2 linked regions of the Caenorhabditis elegans genome follow. The protein of the gene in region 1 purifies or fractionates together with the protein of each later gene. This does not show direct contact. Each region holds a gene or a part of one and is shown on either strand. Other genes may lie near its edges. The genes, in order: F40E10.5 and C27D8.2.

Region 1 (15,860 bases):
GAACAGAGTTGGACGGGACGCAAGGCAAGAAATTTCAAAAAATTGCAAACGTGTTAAATCCTTAATTTAAATCCATTTCAAAATTTTTATGGTTTCCAGCACAATTATGTTTTTGAGCTCAACAAATTTTTAAATTGTTACCTGAACGTATTCAGAAACTTATATATAAAATCTATAAAACTAGATTTTTTAAATACCTAAATGATGTATCAAAACTTTCAAAATCAATTTGAAATTTTAATAAATATGTAGAGTATCTTTAGTATGGATAAACTTAAGATAATCCAACGTGATTGAATGTTATAGGAAAAAATTGAAAACTTTAGATTTAACAAACTTTGCAATCAAATTTTGGTAAATTGTTTAATATATGAAAAATTTGGGCTTCAAGGTACTTAGAGTATTGCCGCTTGTTTGAACTACTATTAAAAACAATTGGAAAAAAATTAAAATATACTACTCCTAGTGAAAAAGTTTTTTGGTCGACTTCAAAATTATGATAGGTAAAAGCTTTTTGACTGTGTATATATAAAACGTTTTACAGTGATATTTGGAAATTATAGCATTATAAGGCATATGCTCATGCTTAAATACTGTTATCCTATTTTTAATTTTCAAGCATATGTATATGAGTTATGAGGCATATGTATATGAGAACTGAGTCCCTTATTGTACCTCTAACTGGAAAATGTGTAATGTTTCACGTTCTAGACTACATTTTCTCTGTACTCATTACCTCCGTACCTCACCCTGTACCTTGAAATTCTACAGTACCCCTCTCCTGTAAACATTAGCTACTCACACAAAAAACAATACACTTCACATGACAAAAACTATTATTTTTACAAGAATTGAGAAAAGAAAGGGAAAAATGGGAAAGACAAAGCTGGCGGATCCGAGGTCCAGCACGCTTGAAAATGGTTCCTTTCTACAATGTAAATTTGCGATAACTTCGTTTTCGGCCCCTCCATCCCCCTCTCTTCTCTCACTTCTCCAGCACACCGCCCGAAGGCACCCACCACACTACCAGCACTTCAGAACACTTCTGGAGGACACGAGTTAATAAAGAGGAGAAGAGCTGTGATGGATTAAACAGTTAATTTGATGATTGCTCGCGCGAAGGTTTTGTGCAGATTATAAGCCAATTTGTTGTTTGAATAGATTTCATTGGCGTTTATAATTGAGATGAAGTTGAGATGCCACTAACACTTTTGTTTGTTTGTTGAGATGTTGTCCTGAAATTCAGAAAAAAAAGAAAATGATAACCGTTCTAGTCTGACATAGCTTAAAGTATTGGCACAGGTTGGAAAGAAGATCATGTACGTAACTTGTCTATCGTGCATTTTTTCTTCCCCGGACACTGTTTCAACATTTTTTTTAATTACCAGACAGCTTTTGAAGGCTGAAATTCATAACTTAAAATGTGTGTATTTAACAGGTACTCGCTTCAATTTTTGTGGAATTTAATCGAAAACATACTCAGAATAAATGAATAAATGAATAAAGTTACAAATAGATTTTTAAACTTTTTCTGTTTTTTGTCAGCATCTAAAAAGTTTTTGAAAAATTTGTAGTTGTTTTCTTTTTGGAACATTTATGCATGTTCGAAGACCTAAAACTTTTTAAGATAAGTAATTGAGTAATTGACCATAAAATAATACTCGGAGAAGTTTTTTTACTGATTTTCAAAATTATGACATGCAAACTGTAAATTAAATTTTTTTTTCAAAAAACACACACTTTTAAATTGTTTAAAGTAATATAATTCCAAAAGTTTGCCAACTGGTGATACCCTTTTTTTAAGTACAGTAGGCACAAATAGTGGTTTTTTCTCCACTCATTTATGCTAGTAACAAAAAGGAGACCGGTCAATTGGTGCCACCCATCTGACTTTTTTAAATATTTTTTACATTGTTTGCATAAGTACCTCTTGGTTCTTATTCACATAAAAAATTGAATTTAGATTATATGTTTAGTTTTGCCGATTTTATTCTAAACATTTTCTACATATCACTCCACTTTTCCATAATATTGTTTGATATCCATTAGCATAAAACATACGATTAAATGATGACACTTCATTAGCCATTGTCATACGGTATTTGCAAACACACGCCGCTCTCTCTCTCACTGCCACTTTGCTTCCGATCTTTGATAAAAGCCAAGTTTACAAGACGATTTAATAAAGGGTTTTATGAACTTTGACATTGTTGAATGCTCAACATTGTTGCAATTGACTTCTATTGTGTTGATGACCGTAACCACTGAAAAGCCCCCAAAGCTTACATTTTATTAGATTTGACTGATGCCGGATGGGAGTCATATAATAGATTTGTAAATTGAATCATGTATTCTTCTTGGCGTGGATTCTTGACATAATCCTTTGGGAATATCACTTATTATAATTTGGCTTTGGTTCCTCTTTTCTTGGAAATGTAGAAATAGCGTCATTTTATAAAAAACAGGATTTGAAAATTATTCTTGAAAAACTACTGAAAAAAGAATCGGATCTTACGTCAGATTGGAATTCCAGAAATTGTCTTCGTTTAAAGTTTTTTGGATAGATTTTAATATTTTTGAGGGTAAAAAGTTTGCAAATAAGATGAAAAAAGGTATTTATTAGATAAATTAAAATTTTAAATATTGTTATTGATCAAAATACTGTTGAGATTGGTATTGAAAGAACATTGAGAAATTATCTAAAAGTTAGCCTTTTCTCTGCTCAACATATCGTTGTGGAGCCGCTGGTGTATCTGCTCCTGGCCGTCTACAGTATCCAGTGCCGAACGATGTTACGTAGAAGAACGGACGGCAGCAATATCCTCCAGTACATGGGTTGGTGTTACAGTAGACAGTTTCCACGTAGGTACCGCATCTGTAATTCATAAAATAAGTATCAGAATAAATCGCATTCAGTCACCTTCTCGATTGAGTTCCACATCCTCCACATTGTGCGGAACAAGCCGACCAGGATGCACATTGCGATGTTGACGTGGTGGTCGTAGGTGGAGCTTGGGTAGTGGTGGTTGTTGTAGATGTGCGAGCGGTAGTTGTGGTTTGCCTGGTAGTAGTTGTAGTTGGGGAAACGGTTGGAACCGTTATTGGAGCCGTGGTCGTGGTGGTGGAAGTGGTTGTTGGGGCAGATGTTGAAAAAGTTACAGGATCATAACGATAGTTCAATGAGAACCTCGCTCCGTTTACTCCTTTATAAATCACAACAAGAGTATTGGTTTCAGATAAGGAGATAGTTGGATAAGATGCACAGAATCGTGCTCCAACTCTGCTGAAATCTCTTCCGTAGTTGATTTCCAGGTAGTTGGTGGTGCATGGAGAGTATCGGGAGAATGTGGCAGCTGTCATTTGGAAGTAGACTTTTGCGCCAACTGGGGCCTGAAAGAAATGATGTCAGTTCAAGATTTTTAACGAAATTCTGTTTAGAACTGTTTCAGTTCCAATAAAAGTAAAAATGATGTGTTTTCTAACAAGACCACAAAATTTTGATCGTAAATTTTAAAGAATTTATTTATATTTTATGTTTACAGACGTTTTGATTTTATCACTCGGCATTTGGCTCTAGCTTCTTGTCCGAATTTGGCCAAAAAAAGCTTGGATCAGAAGCTGGCTAAACTTGGGCAAAACTTTGGTAAAACTTGGATTCAGGTTGCGCCAAAGTTTAACCCAAGTTTCACCAAACTCTTGCCCAATTTTGAAACTAGGCCTTCCGCGAAGGCGAGGCGCAAAAAAGGGCACACCACGCCTGTGCGCCCACATTATCACACTCTGTGTACTGCGGCCGACACTGCGCGGGACCTCGCGTAGTGTGGAGCGGTCGGGCTAGAGTTGCGCCTTCTTGGAAGACCTATTTTAAAAAAACCAAGAAAAGTTTGATCCAACGTTTGGCAAGAGTTGGATGACACTTGGGTTAAACTTTGGTGCAGTCAGAATCCAAGTTTAGCCCAGCCTTTGGCCACCTTTGGCCAACTTCTCATCCAAGTGACTATTATTTGAGCCAAACTTGACAAGAAGCTAGAGCCAAATGCCAAGCTCATAGCGGCTTTGTCATCGTTATTATGTTCGAAATTTAATATCTTACAACTTTGGTGTACATTGATCGAAAATATAAATCTAAAATCTTCAAAAATCAGCACACTTATTCCAAAATCTCGAGGTAAATACAATTTGCTCACCTTGATAACATAATTACAAGTCAAGGCACCTGATGCAGAAATAGTTTGAATGGAACTTGTCGCAGTGATATCTCCTGCACCACACCCATTACTATTGGTTCCGGCAACATCACAAAGTTGTCCACCGAAACCAGGTGGACATTTGCAGTTGTTACAGTCATTTGGATTGATGTACCCACCATTTTGACAGTCGAGGTAATTAGAACAAGTAGCTGAAAATTCAAACTAAGAATCAGTTATGTGATAGTTTAAAACTTACAATTACAATAAGCAAAGTTAATTCTCTTGACATCTGCAAAAGATGGAGCGACTCTCTGCCCAATAGTTGCTTGAAAGTTTGGATCACGTGTAGCAATTGTGTTTCCGCCGGTAGAGGAGAACGCCGCCTGGTCATAATGCATAACAGATCCGTAATCGTAGCCAACTCCGTAGTCTACCATACTAGATGCGGACTGTTTCGTAAATTGAGAAAGATACATGTCTTGAATGTTTTGGGTGAGAATTGAAACATAGTCATCACGATCGTAACGAGCTTGTTCGTGGTAGAATCCAAGGGCGTGACCTGAAAAATGAGTTGTGTCAATTTATTTTGGCTTGGGACGTTTACCTATTTCATGGCACACTGTTCCAAGCGAGGTGCATCCCCATCCAATTGACACGTCTTGAGGAAATCGGCTCACCTTGCCAATATTCGAATAACACCTGTAGTTTTTTCCCAATCACGGAATGTAAATGTGTACGTTTGGACAAAAAAATTGTCAGGGCAGAAAGCGAAAATACGAATTTTAACTGTTCACTTTTAGTATTATTTTTTCTAAATTTCAGCGTTTCTCAAAACTGTTATGATTTTTTTGAATTTATTCGATTAATTTATAATTAGAAATACAATTTTACAGCTTTTAGATAAACTTTTATAAACTTAAAACTCTATTAATCCTACACAGTTAACAAATATTTTTGTTTTAGTGTTTAAAGTATTTTTAAAAAACTGCGCTAAAAATGTAACAAATTTACAATAAAATATATATGCCTTGTGTGTCATCTATTTTTGTTATTTCCATTTCAACACCAAAATCTGTGAAAAGTCACTATTTTCAATCTTCAAAATTTGAATCGGAGAGAATCATATATAACCTGCTTGAACTGTCCGTAATTCCAAGTGGAACATTTTTCAAAAAATAAAATTTGCATTTGAGATAACTGCATTAATTCCTACAGTTAAAAAATTGCTGAATTTTAAATATTTGCATTATTAAAATAGTAATCTTAACAAAGATTAACTGTTTTTGAATTACAATTCACTCACCCGTTGCCAGATATGAATCTTAAGGCATTTTGCCTCGACGAGGAACTATAACTATTCAATCTTGTGAATCTTGCGCACGTTTCCTGCTCCCATTTTGCTACTCCGGCCAGAACCGCATTCGTGTTTACTGAAAATCAATATTATGACAATATGCTTAATTATATTAGTCACCTCCTGATGATGTATCAATATAGTATGGCACTGGGAATGACCAACGTTCTGACAAGAATGAAGTCATTGATCTCTTTCCACGAATTGCGTAGAGGAATTCATTAGTTGAAGATTTGCGAGCCCAGTATTGATCACGGACGTTTTTAATAATCAAATCCATTTGTTCATCGGTAAGTACCATGTCTCCTTCGAAAAGATACGGAATTTCATCGGGTTTGCTTTCAATTTTGTCTTCAAAATCCAACGCTGAAAATTCATCGGGTTGTGGAATGCCAAGAATATCAGCTTGAAGTTTGTTCAAAATGGTCATTTTGTCCATGAATTTTAGGGCATCTGCTTGTTTGAAAGGTCCCTTTCCATTAACGAAGTCGGCAAAATAGCTTTTCTGAAACAATATTGTTTTTTATTAAGAACAAAAGAAACACAACTCACAGCATGACAAATTGGAAGAAGGCACAGAACGATCAGCACCGGCCAGTAGGAAACCATCGCGTTCGAATGACAGAAATTTGGAGTTGTTGCCAGACGAGATGTCTTATCCCATCCAGAAATCTTATCGGGACTATGCCGTGGTATAATATACGGTAAACACCCTCATTATTACTCATTTTTCTGATATCTCTTTGAGATTATTAAAGGATGCGGGCCATGGTGGGTCAAGGTTTCTCTAGGATTGGCCAGAACACACGTTTAAAGATCAAAGAAACATTGAACGTGATATTTGATCATTTTGTGGGAGCTGGACGTTACTATCATTTTTCAGTGTGATCCCTGTTAAAAAAATGTGGGCAAAAAGCCATGATAACTCCTCTTGTTGACTATTGACATATCTGGAATCAGCAAGTGTAAATGCGTTTTTCTATCATTTTGAAATTACATTGGTCTGATTTTAAAAAAAACTTAAGAACAATCTGTTTTTTAACCGCTATGCACTGCGAATCTGGGAGCCAGGTACGCTGTCTGGTGGGGCTCCCACTGAGCTATAATTTAAGCCAAGTCCTGGCTGGAACTATGGCCAATAATCCAGTCGTGAATTGCTCCACTTTCCAATAGAGGCTGGGTGAACCTAAAGAGTGAGGCCGAACTTGAACACGTGACCTCTAGATTGCTAGCGGTCACCACTGCCGACTGAGCTAATATCTCCCAAATATTATACAAAATTCGACTTGAGAATCTATTGGATGTTATATTTGTAATCTGATTCAAATTTCAATTTTTTAGTTTTGTGTTTAATATGTACAGTGTTCATGCTTAAATTATGTAATCGAGAAAAAACCAATAAATAATTTTTTTTCATAAACATATTCAGTTTTGGAGTTCATCATCGGAGTCGTGTTTTAAGCTAAAACCGGAAATTACAAAAAATTTTAATTGCCCCTAAAAATATATTGAAGGCTATTTCCAGTTTTCTTCATACAAAACTTTTGTTATCGTGTATTCTGATGTTTTTCAAAATTTGATAAATAGTTGGATTTAATAAAATATCAGCTTGAATATTTTTAATTTAAAAAATTGTTCCAAAATCACACGATCAAAGTTTAGTAAGAAAAAAAATACGTGTTTATTCTCTTCGCCAATTTTGAAAATTGATAATACTAGATTCATTCAAAAAAGTTGCACATATTCGCTTCTGATATGCTCCATGAAACTACCTTTGTTCTAGACGTACTGAAACAGTCATATACTGTGACCGTGCCGTGAAAGTCCAAACCGTGAAAGTTATACAATTTCCGTTTGAAATAAAATTTATTTCTGAATATCTAGGAAAAACTTTACGAAATGTGATGGTAATTTTTCGATTGTTCTATCAAGCCATGTCACCTTTTCTATTTCTTTTTTCAATTTTTTAAATCGAAATGTGTCTTGACCTTATCACGCTTATAGTCTTGAGCAAAACTCATTTCCCTTCAATTAAAAAAAAAACAGTCGGAACATTGCCATCCGGGCATTCCTTTGTTACCAACAAACAGGCCGCTTATTCGTTTCCCACACTTGTCCGGTCAAAGAAACCAGCTTGCCCACTCTGTCTGACCGCTTGCCAAGCCAAGCGCGCCCTTTGCACACTGTCGTCCGCAATCTTTTGCCTGTGGGTCGTGACCGGCTCGTCTGCTCCAAATGTTTGTCTTAGTTAAATTCGTTCGCGTTTATTCGCGCACATTTGCGGACATTGCTATTGGAGGCGGTTACGGAGGCGCGGCAGGGAGGCCGGCTAAAAATAGTGAGGATTGCGTAGATGGCGCAGACAAAAATCCGTTTTTTAGTCACCGCCGACTGTTGTTGCACTATAAAAGAGCCTTGTTGAGATGGAGAAGAAGAAGACGGATAGCCTCTCACTTTTCATATTTCTTCAAAAACTTTTCCTAGTTTCTTCTTATCACTACCAACAATGCAAACTTTAATATTAGCCATTTTCCTTCCCTGTATTGTTTTGGCATTTCCACCTCGTCACTCCGATCCTTTTAACCCATTAGGCCCATGGCACAAGAGAGTAAGATTGTTTCCAAGTTTACTGTATGATTTTGTTATCTGATTTTAAGACAAAACCATGTGGAATTCCAAAATTCATAAATGAACTCCCATCCGAGGCAGCTGAGAAGATTACCAAGATTTGGGAAAAATATGTGGAGGGAAATACTTGCGAAAAGGAACATGAAGAGACAAGGTGAGATTAAATTTTTTAGTTGGTAGGAAAAGTTTTTAAAAAAGTTAGAAAAGTACTGTAATCGAAATAATCGGATCAAGTTGTCAAATTATCATTGTTTTTGCTTGGAAGAATTTAAGAGTTTTAGAAATAACATCCCAGGGGCATTTTAGCTCAGCCGGTAGTGGTGGCCGCTAGCAATCTGGAGGTAGAGTTCAAGTTCGGCCTGACCCCCCTAGGTTTACCCAGCCTCTATTGGGAGGTGGAGCAATCCACGACTGGATTATAGGCCACAGTCCCTGGCTAGGACGTGGCTTAAAAAATAGACCAGTGGGATCACCACCAGGCAGAATCCTCCCAGCCCGCAGTACATAGCACTTGAAGAACGGATCGTCCTATAATTATTTTTTTTAATCCTTTAACACTACTTTCAAAAAATCGTGAGCTTGTAAAACCTTGATAACTGAGACCAATTATTGAATTTAAGTTGTGTCCTTATCATTATATGGCACCCTCTGTTAAAAATAACTCTGTGAAATCGGACATTCGCATTGAACCAAAATGTATAAAACATTTGTAAAGCGAAAATTTCCAGAAACATCATCCGTGGCCTCACCACCGAGGAACGAGACAAAGTTTTCGCTGGGAGATGTGGACCATCCTTCTTGAAAAACGTGTCATCCACTGTGAGAGAGGAGTTCAAGAACGTCTGGTTCGACTATAAACTTAGCGTTGTTGAGAAGGAGCTCGCCCTTCAGAAGTTGGCTTATTCTCTTCTCACTGGAGAATCTGTAAGTTTAGTGTTCCCTTGTTTTTGGGCAATAATTACTTTCATTGACAAACTTTCATCAAAAAGTGCATTACAGCTTGCTCTGTTCAACAAATGGGAGGAGGAGCTCAAGACAAGAAAGGTAGAGGTCGCTAGAAGACTTTCCGAGCTTTCTCCAGATGCCAGAAAAGCCTTCGAAGAATGGAAGGAGCTCCGTTTGAATGTAAATTTTGAAACGATTTCTTATAACTGAATTTAAAGAGTATTGGTTTAGGAAAAGAAGTTCTTGGCAGGACTTTCCAAGGAAATCCGCGATGAGCTTAAGAAAATGTTCATTTCCTCCAAGGATAAGGAAGTTGAAGCTACCACTACTACAACTACCACCACTACCACCACAACTACCACGACCGAAGCTCCAACTATGCCGGAAGCTGTTTCTTCTACCGTGAGTTTTTGAAAGTTTTGTTGTCATAATATTTAGTTTAAAATTTATTTTCAGACCGAGCAATCTACCACCACCACTGCCGCTGCCATCATTGCCGAAGAAACCAAAGAAAAGGAATTCTCAGCCTTCCTTTACTCTCAGACCCCAGAGGAGCTTAACAATGAAGACCAGTGCTCTTTCCTGGCTTAAAGCTTTATTTTGAGTTGTGTACCCTAATTTATTCAAATTTGGAATTGTCGAAAGTATTATTCGAGTTCAATTCGCAGAGTTTAATTTATTGGCAGTGTTTTTTCTATATGCTTTTCTCAAAATCATTCCTGTAAATTACGATATCAATAAAAAATTTCTATCAAAAACTCCATTTGTGATTATTATTAACAGAACGCTTTATTCGAACCTCAATAATCTATAGTCATTAGAAAAAAAATATATATATATAAAATGCGATAGATAAAGAACATGGATACAGGAAAATGAAAATCACCATTAAATTTAAAAAAAAAATGAAGAGCATAAGTATATTGGACAGGTGAATGCGATGATTGAGATTCTTGAAGGGGGAAAGAGCGATATGACAGAATCCACATGGTACGCAGATCATCTGAAAGTTTACAAAAAATAATTCTGGCTCATGGGAAGTTGCGTAACATTTTTGTGTTCTCTTTAGAGCATTATTTTTAAAATAGAACAAAAAATTTTGTTTTTAATTGTAAAATTTTAAAAAAATTAATAAATACATTTTCAAACCATTACATGTGGACAGGGAATCGGGAGCTGTTGGAGTTGATTTTGCAAGAAAAATTGTGTTAAAGATGCCTTATGTTTTGTGAGAGAGAGAGAGAGGTGTACGAATAAATAACTATGCGTCGAGAAGGTTGCCGGTGGCTTGAGCCGGAGCTGATGATGAGCTATCATTGGTGCCGCTCTCCACCATTGTTGAGTAATTCGTTGCGGCACCACCCTTCGACATTCGTTGTTCTTCAGTGCTGGTGCTAGTCCCGGGTTGTTGCTGAAAGTTGAAACATGTGATACTTTTTGAAAAATTCTATAAATATCTAACAATTTTTAATTGAACCAATCACCATCGTCATGCAATCCCAAATAAATAATGCTTCCCGTCACCCATACATTGTATAATAAATCAAGAATTTTGTTTAAAAGTATTTGAAATTTTTAATTGAAAATTGGAAAAATCAATAGTTCACACACATAGTCTAATAGGGTTTGAACTTTGGAAAGATTTTGGAACGTCACATATATTCACAAAACACAAACAAAAAAAAAAGAAAAGGGGAAGCGGTATATATAAATATTAAACGATAAGCATTTAGAAACCTGTACTGACCGGTCGTTGAGCGTTGGAGTGCTGAAAGTAAATTAGTTTTGGAGAGCGGATTCAGTCAAAGTTACAAACTTGAGTGTATTGTTGGTATTGAGGGTGGAAATTGTGAATCGCATCCTGCATAATATCTTTGGGATTCATGGTTTCCTTGAGAGATGAGCTGATCGATTGGAGGGTGACTGGGCGGCCATCGTTGGCGTTGCTAGCTGAAATTTAGACAATTTGAAAGATTTAGAGTAGCTTGTAAACCTGTAATCACGTTTTTTTAAAATGGTTTATTAATTATTTGTAGAAGTACTCAGAGTATACTATTAACACTTATTTTCTTGACATCTTAGGATTAGGAATCCCAGCTGAGTGAGGCGCCAAATGCGGGCCTCACACCGACGCCGCGCGTGTGTGAAATGAAGTGCGATATTTAGTTATTTGAAGCGACCGACACTTTCGGGGTTCCGCAGCTTAGCGTGAAAAGCGTATCTTAATTTGTGCACAACGTAGTGCGAAAAAGTGGTTGTTTTGAAGCGACCGACACGTTGGGGTACCGCGCCGCACTATACATTCGGTTTGAGTGACGCCGTGCGGCCGGCGGAGGCGCTGTTGCGGCGTTGCGGCGGGAGCTCTACTTAAATAGGATATACAATGACCTTTAACATTTTCAAACTATGTCAGAAATTCAAATGGTATCAGAATTTCCAAGAATTTTTTGACTTTCATAGTTAATGATAGGTTAACCTCCGCAAAATTCATATTTTTACCAACCGTTGTGGGCATCGGCGTAGGCGGAAACATTGAAAGCGAAACGAAGAGCAATTGCGGCGAAGAACATTTCAATGCAAATGAAGAAGTTTTGCCATCCAGCGGCGACTGTTCCACGTCCGATCACTTCTCTTCCTTCGGCATCGTAAATCGGGTCGATCGCAGAAGTGGCTCCGAGAATAGCAATGAGGAATCCTAAAGATTTGAATTAAGTCAAAAATCAAAAAACTGTTGTACACTTACCCTGCCAGAAAGACAAGAAGATGACACTCTTGACAGTCAAGAACTTGAGAACCGGGCGATATGGGCTGAGAAGGTCGCGAGTTGCTGCATAAAACAGGAACATTCCGTAGAGGGCGAGCGAGATAGAGACGTTATAGACCAGCGTGATGTAGATGTATCCTTGATCGAGGCTCCAGTTGCCATCCTCGTACTTTCCAATTGCAGTCAGCATCAGTGTGATGACAGCCATGATTGGTTTGATGAAGCAGAATTGGAGAGTTGCCTGAAAAAAAGTTTTTTAAAATGTTTCAAGGACATTTTGAGCGCTGCAAAAAAACGATTTATGAAATGCTCTAACAGTGCTTTTAAAAATCAATTTGTCAAAAAAAATAATTTCGATTCTGAAATGAAAGATTAACCACTCTTGGTTAAATACTGAATCTCATTAAACCGCCATTGTGACATTTTCAAACATTACCCACGGAAAACAATTGGATTGACAGTAGATTGACAAATGGGCTACCCTAAATGCAAATTTTTCGGGTCAAACAAATTCCTTTGTTTTTCATGTTTTCCCAAATGCCGCCTTGAATATTTTACTTCTAAGCATTCCCGTTTCTCACCTGCTTGCAGAATCGAAGGAACTCGATCGTGTACTGCTTGCCGGCCAAGCAGCAGGTGCACGTTAGATAGTTGGTCGGACGAATCGGCTTTCCACGAATCTCGGCCATGATGTTGCTTTCACCACCCAGGTACTCATAGCAGAGGGACAAGAAGGAGTAGATCACGAAGGCTTCATAGCAGTCGCGAATTGAGTTGAAGTAAATGTAGACGTTGTCAGAGAAGAAGATGAGAGATAGCCACGAGTCGAAGGCATAAATTGGCACGATGAATAGAATTCGAACAATCCAACGCTGTTCTGCTGGACATGAGTAAAACCGGAGGTGTTGGTAGATCTGTAATTTAGATAATTGTATATTTTCATATTTCTTTTGATTGTTTTGAAATAGCACAACACTGCTCAACATAACATATTTTTCATAATTTTTAAATTTTCCAACTAGATTTCCAAATTCAAATTCCACCTACTTGATGACTGGTTATAAGAAGAGCAGCCCAAGTGCAGAGGCCGGCGAGCCCCTGTGCGGACGCCGACCGGATGAATGTGGTTCCCTCTGTGCCGTTGATGGTCATACTAGCACATTTCTGTAAAACAAGGATGATTTAATTAACTCTGGGAAATTGGGTAGATGCTCTTGCGAAATAGTTGCACCAAAAGTTGATTGGAAATATAAAAAGAAAACGTCAAGAAAAAAGAGGAAGGAGACACAAAAAAAGTGGAATGGAAATTGAAATAAGAATGGCGAATGGAATGGCAAAAAAAACGCAAAGAAGAGGGAGAAATAGAATGACAGATGGTTAGAATCAAGTAAACAAATAGATTGCTTGAAACCAAACCAATGAGTCAATATCACGTCAATCAAATATCGATCAGTGTGACAGTAGACGAAAACCTGTCCATTGATAAGGGAAAAGAACTTTGCCACTTCTGTACTTGGGACAGGGGAACTAAAAGGGTATTTGGCCGACAGAACCAGTAATTGGAAATTTGAACATTTCAAACATCCTATTATTTTTATTAGCAAGACCTAAAATACTAAATTTTTCGACACACTGAAAAAAAAATTCACGACTGATATATAAGAATTGTCCGAGTTTAAATTTCTTTCCTATATGTTATTACTTGTTTCCCAAATTTCACCGATATGATAAAGGATTTTATGAACCAAACATTTGAGGTTGCCAATACTATTTTTAAATGGTTAATTTTTGAAACAATGCTAATAGAGGAATGATAGACAAAATAAGACAACGGAATTGCGTGGGCAAGATCAATAGCCACTTTCAAAACCGGAAAATATTTGAAAAATAAACCGCTGCAATGTGCAAATTAAAACCTAACCGCAATTTTTTTCTGATAAGCTGAAAATTGAAAATTGTGACTTATAATGCTATATATATATATATATATATATATATATATATATATATATATATATATATATATATATATATATATATATAACATTTTCCTTCCCTCATAGTTATTTCGAAATTAAAAAAAACTACAAACCACGCTTCTCCCTATACTCAAATAGTTTTTTATCGCGGTTGTCTTGTTAACATTGCATTTTTCAAAGAGAAACTTTTCGAACGTGGGATTTTTGATTTTTATGCAAAAATTGGTGCTGGGTACAAATAGATAAAGCCTGAGTAAGTGAGAAATTAAAAAGCAATTGAATAGTAGGAAAACGGAAGGAAAAAGAAACAGAATCGCATAAGGAAGAATCCAGTTTTGTCGCCCAATAGTCATTCCTATCCAGCCTAATGACATTGTGGAATGAGATGTCATCGGTTTTTGTTTCTCACATTAGACGACGCCTCTTTTTAAAACAATGACTAACGATCAAAATGTACACGTGGCACAGTGAAGGGCCTCGAGGCAAAAAAAGGAAATACATAGTGGAGAAAAGGCAATGCGCACTGCTCTCTCTCTCGCTCTATCTCTATCTTTTTCTCTTTTAGTAAATAACGGGAGAAGGAATGAAATAGAAGGCAGAAAGAAGCAGTGGCAGGCGATCTAGAAGAAGACGAGTGCGCGGCGTCGGGCAGAAGAAAGCATGGACGTACCCGGCAGCAGCATCCCTCTTCTGTTGCCCATAGAGCGCGGTTGCACCGCTTCGGTCGATCGATAGGCAGCTGAGATGACGAGCGGCGTATGTGAGAGGGGGGGGGGGGAGTTGACTCATTGTGTATGAAGCGAGAGAGAGAGAGATCGGCAGAGAACCGAACGAAAAAACTACTACGGGGGTGGATGAGACGGCAGAGATTATTGTGGTTGGGATCCAAGAGACAAACGTGTTTTGAGGCTGAGTTTTAAGAAGAAAAAGAAGAAGTGGGAAAGCGGAGGAGAAAATAGGAAAATAGAAAGAAAATGAGGAAAACACAGTTGAAATAAATAATGTTTGTTTTTTTCCCATTTTTTACTTTCTGTTTTTTTGGCAATTTTTTTTTTGGTTGTTTTGTAAGTCAGTGAGAATAGTAAACAATAGTGTTGTTAATAGACAATCATATCTTATCTGTTGCGAACAAACAGCCTGCCAAACTACTGACTCCTTCTCATTTTCTATTTAGCTGTATTTTCAAGTAATAACTTACACAGATGGCACACAAAGAGGAAGACCAAGTGAATTGTTTTTCAGAATGCCAAAATGGGGAGGGAGCCGCTATGGAAACCTTAGAAGTCGTAAATCACAAATGACAATTTTTACGTTTTCGTTCAAAATTTAGTTTGTGAAAGTGGCACTTCAGAATGTTGTGCTTAGTTACTAAAACTTTTGAATTTTGAAATTTAAATGTAGGATTCCCGAGTTTTTCAAAATTTGGTGTGTTAGGCGGGATTCGAAATGTCTATAAGACTGATTTATTCCAAAAAATATAGTTAATCATTTTTGGCTATGGAGAGAAGCAGCCTGTGAAAACAGGAAAAAATTGTATTTTTTTTTTGTAAACAACCACCTATATTTTCAAAATTTTAAAACATAAAACACAATTCGAATTTCAAAAGAAAAGTTTCAAAAAATATATATGCTTTAAAAAAATGAAAATATCTTAGCCACGGTTTTAGCCACACAATTTCCAAAGTTAACTGTAAAAAAATTATTTTTGTCAATTTTACAAGTGAATCATTTCTATTCAAACATTGTAAATGTTCCAACGTGCAGCAATTTCCTTAACTTTACAAAAAAAAACCAGCAAAAAAGTTGACTGCATTATGTTTCATATTGTCTCCAATTGATCTATTTTGTAAGTTCATATCTCTGTAAGTCTTGATCAAAGTATCTGATCTTTAACTACGTTATATAATAGACACTGTCATTGAAATATGCCAAATTTAAGATATTCCATATCAATTGACTGTAAAAATTGCAAAATATCCTATAAAAAGTAAAAGACAAAA
Region 2 (15,860 bases), on another chromosome or scaffold:
ATCTTCCTTATCAATTTCATACCCATTTTATCTAAACTTACCGCTCACCACCCACCCACCATACACATTTACATTAATTTTACCCAAAATCAAATTCTTTTTTTTTCATCATTTCTAACAGAAATACAGATACTTTGCGGAAATCTGATGAAAACTCTCCAATGACCCTGATCAGTTTTCTGTTGCGGGTGGCGGACGACGTGCGCGTGGTTATAAAATTCGAATAAAATTAGTTTTTTATTCACTTTTCTCGATACTATTTTCCCGCATAGTGGATACCAATTAAAAAAGTTTCCGTTTCAGAGAAAAATGTAGTTTGGCCTTTAACTCAAGGTAGACCTCACAAGTCTGATTTTATCACAAAGTGAGGCAGGTAGATTTTAAAAATCAGATTTTTGAAAGAAAACATAAGTTTGATTTTTATGGAAATTTTTGAACTTGTTTGTTTCTCGAAATTTTTTTCGGTACAAATTTTTGTGTAGTGCCTTAAATATTTCTGTAATCACAAAAGGATTTTTGAATTAATTTTAGAATGCAATTTTTACTGAAAAAAAATCTTTCCTAAGACTGTGAAATAAATTTTGGAAATGTCCCAAGTTGTTTAAAAAATTCTAAAATTATTCAGTTTAAAGTTGGGTGATTTTAGGAGATTTTTCATTCAGAAGACTTTTTCCCGATTTTCCGGAAAATCCAAAAATTAAATTTCTTTCGTCTGAAAAAATCCGGAAGAACACTGAGTTCACGTGTAAATGGAGATAGGCAGGCAGGCGGGCGTTAGGTAGGTAGGTGGTAGGCAGGGCTGGGACTTTTTTGTTTTTTTTGTTGGTATTTTGACAAAAAATCTAAAACTAAGTAAGCACAAAAGCAGCCATTAAAATTTTTAAAAAAGCAGGCATTAGATAGGAAAGTAGGAAAGTAGGCAGCTAGACGTAGGCGCAACGAAGTCATGAGCTAGGCAGGCATGGGTAGGCATGTAGGGCGATAGGCGGGATATAGGCATATGTTAGGCACGAGGCATGCATGAGATAGGCATTGGATAGGCATGAGCTAGGCAAGAGCTAGGCAGGCAAGAGGTTGCACTGGTGAATTTTGGTCATTTCCATATCAGCCCACTCCGTTTCTAGATGTTTCCATTTTTATTGACCACTTGAAATTCCACGCCATTTTGTCTGTAATTACATGGCACACACACACGCCATTTTAATTTACTCTCTTTTCTCACACAAAGGTGCATCCTCGTGGTTTCTTGTCATCTTCTGCCCCTTTCTTCTGATGACAACCAGCTGATAACTATAACTACAACAGAGACCACCCCTTCTATGACCTTTGTGTCTCTCTGTCTCTCGATCTCTAACTTGCAAGTCACGTGGCAACACAGTAACCAAGAAATCAAAAGAAACAGATATTCAGAAGACAATTTCTCTTATTTTGTCCCACCAATTTTGCGCCCGTTGCAGTCCCCCTTAAAATCACTATCATTATATCATTTTTCCTCCTCTCTCTCTCATTGAACTACAGTATCATTTGGACACTCTCTTATCATTGTTATCATCTCTGGACCCTCTTGATTTACAGTGCTATTTCATTTTTTCGTCTTTTTGTCTCATCAAATGCATCATGAATTCCAGTTAGGGGGAATCTTTTCTCTTACCAAGGGAGAAATATATATCGTTTTCGTTTTTCTTCCCTCTTAGTTGTTCAACAATTATTCAATTATTTTGATTTTCCAATATCTATATTTGTGAATTCAAATCACACAAGAATAAACCAAGTTGTGGGCAGAGCCTATTATTGATTTTTTAAAATTAAATTTTAGTTCTAAAAATTTATCATTTTGAATTATTTTTAGATTGGTTTTGCGTCAAAAGCGATGTTGATTTTATGCAAAATACACAGATAAATCCAAGAGATGTAGGGTGCAAGAAAACGTATATAATAGGCTCCGCCCATATATTGGCTCTTTTAAACATTTTTTGAATCGTTTTTTAAATAATTTGCCATGTTCTGTATCAAACAGGCTGTTGTTCTGAAAAACTGGGCCTCGTCATAGTTGGCACCTACAGTGACCTCCCACATCCCAAAATAGAATCTACATTTTCTATCACAACTTGTTTTTCGTTAACAACTCAAATTTCAATTTTTTGGTATCATTTTTTTGTCATTTTTCAATCGATTGATTTGACCATTTATCACTTTTGATAAAACTGAAACTTATTGGTCAGGCCGAGAGGGGGGACAACGTGTGGCTGTCAAAACTGTCAGTTTTTACAATTCTTAAAAACGAATTCCGTCGAGCATATACTGATTACTTGAAGCGGTGAGTAGAAATTAGAAAAAAAGTGAATTTCATCAAATAGTGCCTTAAAACGGTCAGTCGTAGTCTAGAAGAGTCCCGCATAATGTCCGCCGCTTTCTTAAAATTCCGTTCAACTTTTGAATTATTCTGAAATTTAAAAAAAAATCGCAGACATCTATCATAATTTATCTAATTTATCACTAGAAATCATAGTTCAAAGGCAATGTTTACTCATTCAACTCTTTTCATAATCAGTCAATTGTCTTTACTTATCCTATTAGTTAATATATTTTGTATAAGTATCAGGAGTAGGTATTCAACCAGGCCGAGGCGTAGAGGGGCGCCTCATTATCCGCCCTCTTTGAGCTCTAAACTTTCATCCTCGTATATTTTAGAAACGTATTTCGTGCGAGAGGCGACAGAGGGATGAGGGGAGGCCCGCGAGCTTATTCCAGAATATCTAATTTCGCAACAAAAAAAAACATTTCAAGAATTTCAAATTCATTTTCCAGTGGCTCTTCAGACTCCACTTCTAGTACTATTCTCCGATCTCTTGCTTCTGCTTCCACTGCGTGATGCCGATTTGCTCTTCGAGCTACTAATGTTCTGTTCCGACTGTGATTTGGAAAGCTTGATAGCTCCTTGGATCTTGGTACGCTTGCCGGTTCTTCGTTTGTGCAGGTTTTTCTCAAGAGTTGAAGTGGGCTGGATTTTCGATAGAGAAGACATTTTGGAGATGACCGCTGTGGATTTGGTGCTTGTTTCGGATATTCTGAAAGAAAATTGGGGGAGTTGATAATATGCATTTTTTGAATCTTACTTGCTATTCGTTCCAGGCGGCTTAACCTTCACAGCATTCGGATCCTTGAATGGATTTTTCTTCTTTTTCTCAGTGAGCTTGTTCTTGACGTACTCTATACAAGCACACTTTGACTTTTTCTTCGTGCTCTTCGATATCTGTTTCTTCGCCTTTTTCTCCTCCTTCTGCTTCTTCTTGAACTTGTTTTTCTCGACACTACGTTCGGTTTTCACAGTTTTCGGGTCGGTGTTGATCAGATCAATGACTCGTTGAGCAGTGGCTGGCTAAATAGAAACAAGAATATATTTTTAAAAAAGAGGAAGCTCACATCAAAAGTTGGCTTGGCTTTCGGCTCCTTGCACTTTTTCATCTTCATATTGAACGCTGGCCGACTGAGAGGAAGAGACGAATGAGCATTAAATGGAGCTGTGTTCATGTTTGCTCCACATCTGGAATGAAAAAAAATTAGAGTAAGTTGAGCTCATTGGAGCCCGCTAACGCTCTTACCTCCCCAAGTTCTTCTTAATATGACCAGGGTCCAGACAGACACGTTGATTGTTCGTCGATTCGAGCATTTTGGTGGCCAAACGGACTAGCTTCGTGGGCATGTTCAGCTGGTTCATGCGTTCAATGATGATGGTGCGATCGACGGGGCTCAGGAATTTTGTGCGAATCTGAAAAATGAGAAAAATCAATCTACAGTAATCTAGCTACATCACTTACACAGGACAACAACGATGGCGCAAAAGCGTTCACATGATTTTGCCCATTCAGCCATAGAAGGATCACATCGGCCACAAACATCTCGTGTGTGACCACCAGTTCGCAGCTTGACAGGATTTGATAAAGTTGGTGGAACGGAACTTTGTGAAAATCTGGAAGAGCTACAAGCTTCTCAATGCTTTCGATGGCAAAGTTTTGCAGAGATTTTTCAGTGTCCGGGTTGACATGGGCCACGTCGCAGACGATCATCGTCTGGAGAAGATCTGCTTCGGAGGACTTGGCCGCTTCGACTATGCTCTGAAATTTAATATTTATTTTTAACCAGGAATATTTAGATGATTGTATGTAGGTTCTTACATCTTCCAGATACATCTTCAACTCCTTCATCTGGAAGGTGTGCGCCAGCGTGACCAGCTCGGTGATCGCATAGTATGTCAGATCGGACTTGATCTCCTGGTTCTGCACATAATTCACGAAAGCCATTATCGATTGATCGCTGAAGCGGTGCAAGTCGACCGTTGACATCGGGTTTCCGGCGGTTTGCTGTTGCTTGACCAGCTGAGAGCAGCGAGCAAGTTCCTCGACGGGAAGATGGTAGACCGTACGATTGCCGAGAAGGCGGACAACCTAAAAACAACAAAAAAATTACGAAAATAGTCTTAGGCTTAGGCATAGGTATATCCATGCACCAGCAGCATTTTATTAAAACTCTCTCTTACCTTCCCACCACCGGTCGCATCCTTCTTCTTTGCCTTTTTCGATATCACATTGTTATCCGATTCCGAAGACTTTAGCTTCGGAAGTCCAACTTTTTTCTTTTTCGAATCGCTGGAAGAATTTAAACTTATCAAAAAGTTACAGACTTCGCTGTGAGACCCAAAAACTCACGACGACTTTTTATCTGTTTCCATTTGAGTGACCCTTCAAAATCGTCGATTTTGCGAAAGCAAGTAAAATAGGAATGATTGAATTTTCCAAATGACATTCTCTATTGATTTTTTTTCTGTGGAACGTGGTAGATGAAACTTAAGATAATATAATTTCAACGTGTTTCAAAAATCATTTCACGGGAATTAAATTTAAATTTTTTGTGAAAAATAAAAAAAATTGATTAAGATGAAAATTGTGTGAAAAAACAAGTAACCCTTCTAAAAGCCCGCAAATTGACTCCTCCCATTTCTTGACTCTTTAAGTTTTAAATGTCCTTGAACCTCCTGCAATTTTTGCTTTAAAAAAAATTTCCTTACTAATTTCCTTGTGCCTTTTTTACAAAGAATTTTTACAATTTTTGTAGAAAAAAAAATGTTGCCTTTCGGTAATTTTTTTGGGTTCATAATTAAAATTACCAATATATCCCTCGATAGGTTTTGAATAGTAAGTACAAAAGCCTTTTTCTGAGCTACTACTTTTTTGATGTTGAATACTAAAAATGTTTCCAAAAATAGCCAAAAATCAATCAATTCGCAAAGACATAAAGAAAATCTTCTCCTCGGGGAGTACACGAGCTGCAAAGCATAACCGTGGAAGAGGTTATCCCCGGCCTCCATTTTTCAATGTGTGTTTCAACACATGTGTCTCGTACACAGCTCTGCCACTTCCAAAAAATTTCCAAAAACGTGTGTTGAACATTTTTCGAAATTACAAAAAAAGAGCAAAATGTGTTGTCAATTTGCGAATCTCTTGGAAAATGTTTTTAGAAAGCCAGAAAGTTTTCATTGTTTTCTAACGTTTTCTTTATCATCAAATAGATATCACATCAACAATCTTATTGCATCAGTAAATGAAACATACTCGTACTTCAGTATTTTTGAGTTTCTCAATTTATTTTTTTCTTGTTTTTTGTTTCAACTGTTACTGATAAAGAGGGGAGCTTTGTAGCTTTTCCAAAAAATATTTTTACTTTTCTCTATTGGTTCTTTTTATTTTTCTACATTCGAAATAGCATTTCCGTTCTCTCACAATATAATTTTTTTCAATTTACAAACAAAAAATTCTACAGGCTATGTTAGAATGACAACACCACACAAAACGATTTCCCCATTCTCTACAATTGATCATTATCAGAAGATTGTCTATGAGTTGGTAAGTTTTTTTACGTTTAGAATGGGGTTTAGATTGCACGTGGTCTAGAAAGTGTCAAAAACTCAGCCACTGGTAAAACTAAGCTTTTTGTGCATACTCGAAACTTTGAAAGAAAGAATTATATAACACATTTTTTGGTGGCCAAGTTTTGCACATTTCTAGGCCACGTCGCAAATTCTACCATTTGGGGCTCACGCTAGTGGATTTTCGTTTTCAAACGACCAATTTCCCTCTGTTCTCAGCTAATCCAGCTCAGCAAAGACCCCCAAACAGCTCAGGAAGTGACCAACATCGAGTCAAACATTGGTATCCTGCGAAATCACATCGAACAGATTCTAGAAAAACGAATAGAAGGTGAGATTTGAGTTTTGATCTTCCAAGCAAGACCCCCACGTGGGCGCGAGGGCGCCCGAATCCTTGTTTGGGTAGACGATGATTTGGGTAGAAGATACAAATGAGATAAGATTACAGGAGAAGAGAGAGAGAAAGAGAAGGGGAACGAAGACAGAGATAAAATTGACAGTGATACGCGTTTTGATTTACGATCCCAGATATTTCTAATACACATGTCGATTGTTAATAAAGAAGAGAATTGCAATCAGTAGTTGTACAAATTTCAGAAAAGGGGTTACGGGCAGAGGTACGCGGCAATTGCCAACATTGCCGATTGCCGGAAATTTGGAAAACCGGCAATTGCCGGAATATCCGATTGCAGTAAATCAAAATTGCCGGAAATATAAATTTGATACTTTTGTATAATAGATTTAGGAGCCTTAACATGCATTTTAATAAACAATTTTCTATGTTAAAGCTCCAAATGATTTAATCCTTTGTCTTTTTCTTTTGAAAAATATCTACCCGAATAATTATAAAAAAGGTGGATTTTGAATGAAAAAAGTGATTTTTTTCAATTTCCAAAATATAATTAGGTTTGCAAATTGCCGAAAATGTCCGACAATCGGCAATTCCGACAATTGCCGATTTTTCTTTTCTTCCAGCACTTCCATCAACAGACATAACCGATGATGAATTCGAAAACGAATGGGTGATCCTTGCCTGGGGACTATTGACATGCTTGTCTCGTCTACCATCAGAACCCGAACGAGATATTACTCAAAGCTTCAACCATATCCTCGTTCGTCTTGTAAACATTGCTCGTCCGATGCGAATTCCAAAAGTGTGCCCTGAAGCGAAGCAATGGTGGACACAATTTCATGAGTTGTACAATAGTTCACTTCATTATTTACATGGGTTGTACTCGCAACTGGACAATCCAAATTGTAATATTGAAATCAAGATGAGGGCTTATTTCACCAGACAGGTACGTAAAGTTTTGCTTTAAAACAAAAACTGAAAATTGAGCGGACCCACGTGGTGCCAGGCTGTCCCATTACGGTTTGATCTACAAAATTGCGGGACACTCTGACATCACGTGCGGGCCTTGTTTGGTTTCTCATAATTTTATTCCAGAAATTTTTTTTGTTATATAAGATAACTTGAAGTAATTTTAAACATAACTCCTCAAGCTTGATTGATAGAAATTATTATAATCTTTTCCAGCTCCAACCTTGCCTCGCTGCATTCCGCAGGACTTGTGCTGAAAATGCTCCGGGATTTCACTCAAGCCTCCGAAGAGCTCAAGTCAATCGACTATCAAATCAGGAAAAACTAGTCGAGCAAGACACTTATGAGATCCGGAGTTACTATTCTTCACTGGCATACACGTTGGGTCTTCTCGCTGTGAGAATTCAAGGATTCCGATATGAATGTCAAACATGCTCACAGAATACATTTGCAACGCCTGATACGTTGTGGCAGTTGTTGAATGAAGTCTTTATTACCTATGAATATGTGATGAATGATGCTCTGATGTGTAATGAGCCAAACCATTCGTCAATTATGGTCACGAATAATCTGTTCACTTTCACGTGTCACACCTTGTGTAGGGTAAGTCTTGCATTTACGAAAATTGTCATGTTGTTTATTAGATTATGTCTGAGCCTGAGCCTGAACCTAACCCTTAGCTTATACCTAAGCCTAAGCCTAGGCCTAAGTTTCAGCTTATGCTTAGGTCTAAGCCTAAGCCTGAATTTAGCTGATTGAGCTTAATTATTATCAAAATAGCAAAAATTTTCAGACGTTGATATTCGAATCATTTGACATCCAAATAGTAAGTGAAGAGACCGCATTCGCAATTCAAAACGAAATAATTCAATGTCGAATGGGAAATAGTAGTCCACGAGAGCCCAAAGTCTTCCCATCGGCAGCTTTGATTGCTATGAAACCAACTTCTGGAGTTAAAAGGAATAATGCGACGGCGAATCAAAAGGGTACCGGTGGAAATACAGCTCACAAGAAATCAGATGTGAATAGTCAGGAATTCGTGACAATTCCACCAACATTCAGTGATAATTCAAATGCGTGGCAGACAACGTATCCACATTTGTTGTGCACGACAAGGCAGAAGGTTGGTTGAAATCAATTTGACAATAGTATTTTGATTTTCTAAATCTTAAGAGCTGCAAAATTTCTCCTATAAACTTTAAAAAATATAGACAAAAATAAATCCCCAACCTCATTTCAGGACGCAGTGCTCCTTGACAGTCGTGCTGGAACAACCGGAAAGCGTCCACTATTCTATTTCTACATCCGTGCGAAAACGTGGTCACCAACGGGAAATTACATTCATGTTCGAACGCTTTCTCTTCCATTCACAATAAGCACACGAAGAAATCAGGATTGTCAGGTTCAGAGAATGAACTCTTCGTATACTGCCACGTGTTTTTGGATGTATGGAACATGCGGGATTAATGGATTGCTGTTGAATTGGAATGAAAAACGTAAGAAGTTTTCGGATATCTGAAAATATTATTCGATAAATCTCCTGTAATTCAGGCAAAATTAGATAATTGTGAGGTTACTGTAGAAGTGCTGTAGAGTAGACACCACGGCTAGTCTCCTTTTTTAGTCCTTACACGTTATCTGTGGTAAGATCAAAAGTATATAATACATACTTAGCCATTTTGGAATATCAGCTGCTTTTTTTGAAAAATTTTCTGAATTTCCAGCGCTAACATGGTCCCAATTCAAACATCTAACTCGTCGATACTTCATGGTGAATGGAGAAGTTATCCGTACAATGGAGGAATCTGATTACGCCCTGCTTCAGGACAAAATGCATTGTGAACAGTGTGGGGATGACTCGACAGAGCTCGAGGACGAGGAGAACCATGAGGGTTGCATTAGTTTTAAGAACATTTTGTGCTCCCATCTGAGATTCGATACGGACACCGTGCAAATGCGCTTCAGCGTATGGCGGGGAATTCTCGAGGTTTTGCAAATATTTCAAGATCCCAAGGCAGCCGTGAAGGTGCTATGGGAACACTATCTGATGCATGGGTTCCTGGATACACAGGCGGTTGTCAATTTGCTAATGCCACGTCACAACTGTATGGTGATTCGGTTGACCTACATTCTCGGCGGAAGCGTCTGTGTGAGCTACCGTAACCTTTGCGGGGAAATCATACATTTGGAGCCGCTCGAATTGAAGAAGCTTCAGGCGAAAAGTATACTGGAGTATATTTCAGATATCGCTGAAACAGCTAAGGTAATTATTTATACAAATTTTGGAAATTGAGATTGAAAAATCAATAATTTCAGATAGACTATCTTCTCACTTATAATTTGGAATACATGCCAGTTTCAAGTGTCATCGAAAAGTATTTCCCAGTAGATGATGTGAAGAGAGTTAGAGGTGTTGCTTCGAATATTACTGATAAAGGACCATTGAATCATGTTACACATGTCAAGTGAGTGAAAACAAATTTGAGACGTGGCCTAGAAACTTTAAAAACTCAGCCACTGATTTCTTTCCAAATATCTCAAATATCTCAAATATCTCAATATCTCAACATTTCCAATATTCTAGATTCACGCCTCTCCGTGTCGCGGTTGTTGCCTGCCGTGATCAGACACCTCGTCCATCACCGCGACCTTCCGAATCGCACGATCTTCCGACGTCATCATCCTCGGTTCATGCTCCATCGGAATGTGTTTTCACTGCGCCGAATCTTCCCCAACGATACCATCAGAATCAAAATCACGACCCATTGATGTCAATGATGATGATGACGTCATCATCTTCATCCACGTCATCACCAACAAACACAACACCAACAATGATGACACCTGGACCAATGGATCAATCATTCGAAATGCAATTGGAGGCTCTAATGAAACAATACGGAAAGACTCCGCATGATGTGAGTCGGTTTTCACCTGGTGCCAGGCTGTCCCATTACGGTTTGATCTACAAAAAATGCGGGAATTTTTTGCGCAAAAAATTGTGACGTCAGCACGTTCTTAACCATGCGAAATAAGTTGAGAACTCTGCGTCTCTTCTCCCGCATTTTTTGTAGATCTACGTAGATCAAACCAAAATGGGGCATTCTGACGCCACGTGTTGTGGAAAAAATCTTACTCAGTATATATTTCAGGTCTGCGAAATAGTGTACTCCGCTGCAAGACCCAATAATAATCTAAATCAACAACAACAACATCATCATCAATCCCATCACCATCCATCACTAATTCCACCAACAACCACATCAATTCGTTCTCCAACATTAGGTCCTCCCTCATCTCAGGATAGAAGTTTCGAAGATTTAATGGATGATCTAACGAATAACGGAGATTATTCTTCAAATCTTGATTTTTCACACACTAATCATTTTCTACGCGTTTAGTTTTTCAAAAGTTTTCCAAAAAAACTGCACTTTATTCTCATTTTGCTGGCCAAAAAAACACATTTTTCCACCAAATAACTTCCTCCGCCTTTTGCAAAAAAAAAAACTGTGATCTCGTTATATTTTTTTGATTCGTTTCGTTTTTTTTGTTTTCAATTTTTCAATTCTCCGTTTATTGAAATAAATAAGTTAAAAATTGGCAATTTATCAACATTCCATCCACAAATCGATGCGTCGATGAATAGTATCATAGATCCGTTCACGTTCTCGTGCCGGGACCCATTCTGGTACATTCACTATTTGAGTATCTTCATAATAGGCTCCAGGTTGGATGTCGTCTCGGAAAATCGTGTGAAGCACGAGAACAGCCGCCATTTCTGGGGTTCTCATCAGTTTTGGAAGCAGTGTGGCATTCAGATATCGAACAATTGGATTTGCATTTTGATAGAGACGGCCTGGCACGGTGCCAGGATGAAGACTTACTGTATTGACGCGTCTGGAAAATTGAACTTGATTTTTGGGTGGAGTTTTTAAATTTGGATTGTTTTAATTCAGAAATACCATAAATTTCAACAAAAAAACCGAAAAATAATTACAGAAAGCACAAAATTTTGAGAATGCATATTGCACAACATACTTGACGCTCAAAATATCTCGTCGCGAAAACTACAGTAATCCTTTCAAATGGCTACTGTAGAGCTTGCGTAGATTTACGGGAGCACTCGATTTTCTTTTCAATTTTCCATTGTTTTCATTTGTTTTTTGTTGGCCATTTTTGTGTTTTCTTCCAAAATATTTTATCGATTAATAAATAATTTCCGTAAATCGACACCAGCGCTACAGTAGTCTTTTAAAGGGTTACTGTAGTTTTCGCTACGAGATATTTTGCGCGCCAAAAAGTGGCGCAATACGCATTCTCAGAATTTTGTGTACGCGTAATATCTGAAAAATTCAATTTTTGAAAACAATATTTTTTAGAAATTTTCAAATTTTTTCTTGAAAATTTTCAAATTTTTTTTTCTCGATAATTTTTAATTTTTAAGCGTTTCAAAATCTTTTAAAAGTAAATCTAAACCATTTATAGACCAATTTAATAGTTTCAGAAGTTTCTGATAATTTTCCCGAATATTGCTAGAAAAAACAACTTGAAACTTCAAAAATTCCAGTCTCACAGGTTTTTTGGTAGTTTTTCCGGACTACTTGACTACTTGGGTATATAAAAAGTGTTATAGGAAAATACCTATTCCCTGCTCAAATATCTAACCTTTTCTTGGCAACTTCATTCACATAAACAGCTAGATTCAGCTTTGAAGATGCATATGCTTGATATGGTCCTGCGTAAACTTTCAAAAAATTGGAATCCAAAGAGTAACAAGCCATTCTCGCTGTGGCAGACGATAGAAATATTGCTCGTTTGCATTCATTTTGTAGAAGCTCGTAGAGCATTACTTGTCCGATTACGTTAACTGCATTGTGAAGTTCGACGCCATCTTTCGTTCGGGATTCCGGTGCTAACATGATTCCTGCAGCGAATATTGCCACGTCGAATTGATGGGATTTGAGTTGATTGGCGAGAAGGAGAATCTGAAAAAGAAATTGTTGCAAAATTTGACAATTTTCTGTTTTGAATTTTTGGCTTTTCGGAAAAATATTGTTTTTTTTGTTTATTTATTGTCTTTAAATATATTGTTTTTAATTTAAAAAATCGAAATCTTTTGAGAAATAACAGATTGTGGGTTACTGTACTTTTTAAAGGCACAATCTTTTTTGTGGAGCTTTCATTTGAAAATATTTCTTTCGTGGCGAGACCATGAAAAATCGAGAAACTTCGCCCGCACCTGTTCATGATGTTTCAAATCAACCGAGTAGATCACCGTGTTCAAATCGTTTTGAAATGGTTGAATTGGTGACGCATGATGATGAACAACCACGTGGCACTCAAAATCCGTATTTGTTTGAAGAATTTCGATTATCTGAAACCGATCGATAAATTTGAGGATTTCAGTTGTTATGCAGGTTTTTTTAAGGCGCTCCATGGTAACGTTCCGCCTCCAACAGTTGGGTCTCGTTAGGTTTTTGGCGGCAAAGCCGAATTTTCAAACGTTTCCAATTAGTTTCGTCGTTTTCGCCCAATTTTTGAGCACATCTCTTTTTAATGAGTTTATACCAAAATTGATGAAAAAATACAAAATTTCAACCATCATTTCGTTATTAAAATTATTTAAAAAATTGAAAAAAATTTCTCAAACAAAAAATTCTTGAAAAATGGCGAAGCTAATTGAAAAAGTTGGAATTTCCGGTTTTTGCCGCCAAATACCTAACGAGACCCAACGTTTTGGGGCGGGGAGTTTAAATTTCGCCGTGGAGCGCGTTTCCATGCAGGAGAGCAATGTAAAATATCGCACCCGCTTTCCAATAGTTCCATCCGCGCCGATCACAAGCATCTTCCGGCGATTTTTACTTTTGTGCGTCCATAATCGAGAGGAGAAGAGCTCGTTTTTCAGTTTCTGGAAAGATTTTAAATTGAAAATTGAATATTTTTAAATTAAAATAATTTCCACACTAACATAAATATGAAATCCCCTGTCAAACCAAGCTTCACGAAGAGCAAGCCACGCGGCGAGCAAGTAAACATGGATAAAAATCAGAAATTCCACAAGAAAATTGGACGATGAAAATGCGAGTGGCTGAAAATTTGGAATTTTCTGTGAAATTATTATATTTAATTCCTCTTACTTACCTTATAATATCTCCATTTGTTTTCTAATATTCCCCATCGAATTTCACTCATTTATTCGTTTTTTTCCTAAAAATATCCTCTTTGATCCATGAAAATCTTCTCAAAATCCAAATAATTTCCTGTTCAATTAACAATAAACAAATACCATCCAGCATATTTTAAACCTTGGAATGCTTTATTCACAATATATTTGATTGTATTTATATTTTGACATGGAGATTGGGTGGTTTTTCGAAAAGTTTGGTGGGGCTTTTCAGCAGGGTATCCGTAATTTTAAGAAAAACAATTGTCACGTCTATTGGATAGAACAAAATAATCAGGAGTGGGGGGGGGGGGGCTGAAAGTGAAATTACCGTCTAGAAAATGGGAAAAAGAAGGGAAAAAAAAATGGAAATGAACAATGCAAAACGGGTAAAGCATGACAATCGGATGATGAAGGGAAGAGGAATGGCTCAGAATGATAGGAAGGGGACTAAAAAGGGGAAAAGGCACTTTATTACAAAATGTTCCACGTCTACATAACAGGGCGCGGTGAGATTGGCGGAGTCTGAGCGGGAGTTGTGATACGTGATGATGATGAGATTCCGTTGCGTGGCGGTGTGTAGTTCTTGCCGGCATGAAGTGATTCGCGGAGACGTCCAAGACGTTCAAGAACTGCAGCTTGACGATCCGTAGTCTTTTTCATTGATGACAGTGATTGACGTGCTGGTGAGTTCTGAAAAATGGAGATTTAAGGAATTTAACATTCAAAAAGTTTAAAGGAGGACTAACGATTCTAGATTTTTTGCTTTTACTGACTCAAAAAGGTGCTCAAATGAACAAATTTCGTAAAAATTCCAACAAAAAACACTAATGTTAGCTAGAATTTGAAATTCTGTTAGCTTTTCAGTGTCGCAGCGATAGGAAATTCTCTTTAAAAACTTTTAAAAATTATGATTCATCTCACATTACCTCGTTGATTAAGGCGCATTTAAAGCCGATAGGTAACCAAAAATTATCGAAATTGGTTACCTATCGGCTTAAAAAGTACCGTAATAAACTAGATAATGTGAGATAGATGGTTAGAGTATGCAATAAGAGATGGTAACTCAATATAAGTCAATTTCCAGTAGCTGTGACACGGGAACATTGACAAAACTGGAGATTTAAGCTAAAAATAGCTCAATTTTTCGAAATTTCGGTCCGCTCTCATTTTGAGTCTACACAAGCAGCAAAAAGTCCTGAGCCACTAATCATCGCTCAAACCACCGTACCACGCTCGCGAATTTAGTGAGATTTGGCGGCAATTCTCCAGAAGTACCAGCCAGATTCAGTTGACTCGCACGAAAAGCCAAATTCGACATTGAACCACGAAGTGACGCCAGAGACGGTGATCGTGAGAGATTCGTCTCTGCGACGCGGCGAATCTCTTGTGAAATAATTTCATCATCTCTGCGAATTGTGCCCTTCTGTTCCAGACGTTGCATCAAACGTGAAGCCGGACGAGAAATCGGTGAATCGTTGTCTCCGCCGTTCATGAAATTGCTCATCGGTGAACTGAGTGCGCTGCGTGCTCGTGTTGGTGTCTGAAAATCATTTATTTAAGAACAATGAAGATTTGCAACAAAAAAAATATTGGCTACCTTAAACTCAAATCCTTCAATTTGTTTCATTGGCGGTGAATTCGATGCAGGATGTACGTTTTCAGTAGACGACGGGAGTGGCGATTCAAAATTCCTGAAGATAAAATGAAAATTCCACAAAAAGTTTCAGATTTTACTCACTTATGTCCCAAATCTGGTGAAATGCTGCCACCTTCTTCTCCTCCGCTACTGCTCTCATCGAAACTAGATGTTCTCTGCTGATTCTGATGGTTTTGTGTCGAAACTCGAACTGATGGCGGTGATGGAAGTCCAGTTCCTCTCATTGTTCCTCTTCTGATGCTGTTACGTGTGGCAATTGGTCCGAAAAGTGCGGTTTGCTGAAAAAATTGAAAAATTAATAAAAATGACAACTTACTTTTTATATTTTAAAGCAAAAGACTATTGAAAAATCTCGAATTTCAAAGAGTTCAGCGCGAAAATGGGAAAAATTTGAAGAAAAATTTCATGCGAATGCGCGTGATATCCATTGCCAGGTACGCAATGTGCATTGCGTACGCGGCATCTTATTTCACGACAATTGTTTTTATCAAAAATTAAAATTCGAGTTTTAATCGAGTTTTCATAGAAAATCTCTCCGATTTCAATTGGTATTATTCACAAAAGTTGCTTAGCAAATAGAGAAACATATGCCGCGCACATGTTCATCATTCAAAATGAGGATTTTGGCACAAACTGGCGGAGGTACACTGAATCTTTCTTCGTAAATAAAATCCACATACATATTATTGCCGTTACGGCTATAAAATGTGTGCGTGGTTTACACGACGGTTTCTATTGAACAAAAGCGAAGAGAGAGTGAAGAAAAGAAAGAAAAATCAGAAAAAAAGCTTTG

The links.
Region 2: the proteins of F40E10.5 (region 1) and C27D8.2 fractionate together in Caenorhabditis elegans (co-fractionation; one large-scale study listed by BioGRID). This does not show direct contact.

What each region holds. Positions count from the first base shown.
Region 1 is NC_003284.9:14,693,813-14,709,672, forward strand, and holds F40E10.5 (DUF148 domain-containing protein), read left to right. Parts: upstream 1-7,977; 5' UTR 7,978-8,050; coding exon 8,051-8,152; intron 8,153-8,201; coding exon 8,202-8,326; intron 8,327-8,684; exon of another isoform or gene 8,685-8,862; intron 8,863-8,900; coding exon 8,901-9,096; intron 9,097-9,171; coding exon 9,172-9,297; intron 9,298-9,348; coding exon 9,349-9,519; intron 9,520-9,573; coding exon 9,574-9,708; 3' UTR 9,709-9,876; downstream 9,877-15,860. Other genes in the region: hch-1 (Zinc metalloproteinase nas-34), read right to left, coding at 2,707-2,875, 2,921-3,390, 4,188-4,399, 4,447-4,749, 4,795-4,889, 5,494-5,620, 5,665-6,049, 6,097-6,153; tmem-184 (Transmembrane protein 184B), read right to left, coding at 10,379-10,528, 10,865-10,885, 10,934-11,067, 11,621-11,812, 11,861-12,122, 12,463-12,795, 12,929-13,033.
Region 2 is NC_003282.8:12,701,702-12,717,561, reverse strand, and holds C27D8.2 (BACK domain-containing protein), read right to left. Parts: upstream 6,346-15,860; 5' UTR 6,255-6,345; coding exon of another isoform or gene 6,143-6,254; 5' UTR 5,901-6,142; coding exon of another isoform or gene 5,829-5,900; 5' UTR 4,730-5,828; coding exon 4,707-4,729; intron 4,647-4,706; coding exon 4,538-4,646; intron 4,446-4,537; coding exon 4,176-4,445; intron 4,116-4,175; coding exon 3,819-4,115; intron 3,770-3,818; coding exon 3,603-3,769; intron 3,545-3,602; coding exon 3,424-3,544; intron 3,380-3,423; coding exon 3,117-3,379; intron 3,069-3,116; coding exon 2,816-3,068; 3' UTR 2,780-2,815; downstream 1-2,779. Other genes in the region: C27D8.3 (Integrase catalytic domain-containing protein), read left to right, coding at 5,829-5,900, 6,143-6,254, 6,899-7,221, 7,461-7,847, 8,038-8,367, 8,485-8,740, 8,969-9,507, 9,561-9,709 and 2 more; C27D8.4 (NAD-dependent epimerase/dehydratase domain-containing protein), read right to left, coding at 10,853-11,141, 11,910-12,229, 12,484-12,618, 13,051-13,152, 13,213-13,332, 13,386-13,436; T23B5.3 (C3H1-type domain-containing protein), read right to left, coding at 13,900-14,100, 14,639-14,950, 15,008-15,101, 15,149-15,345.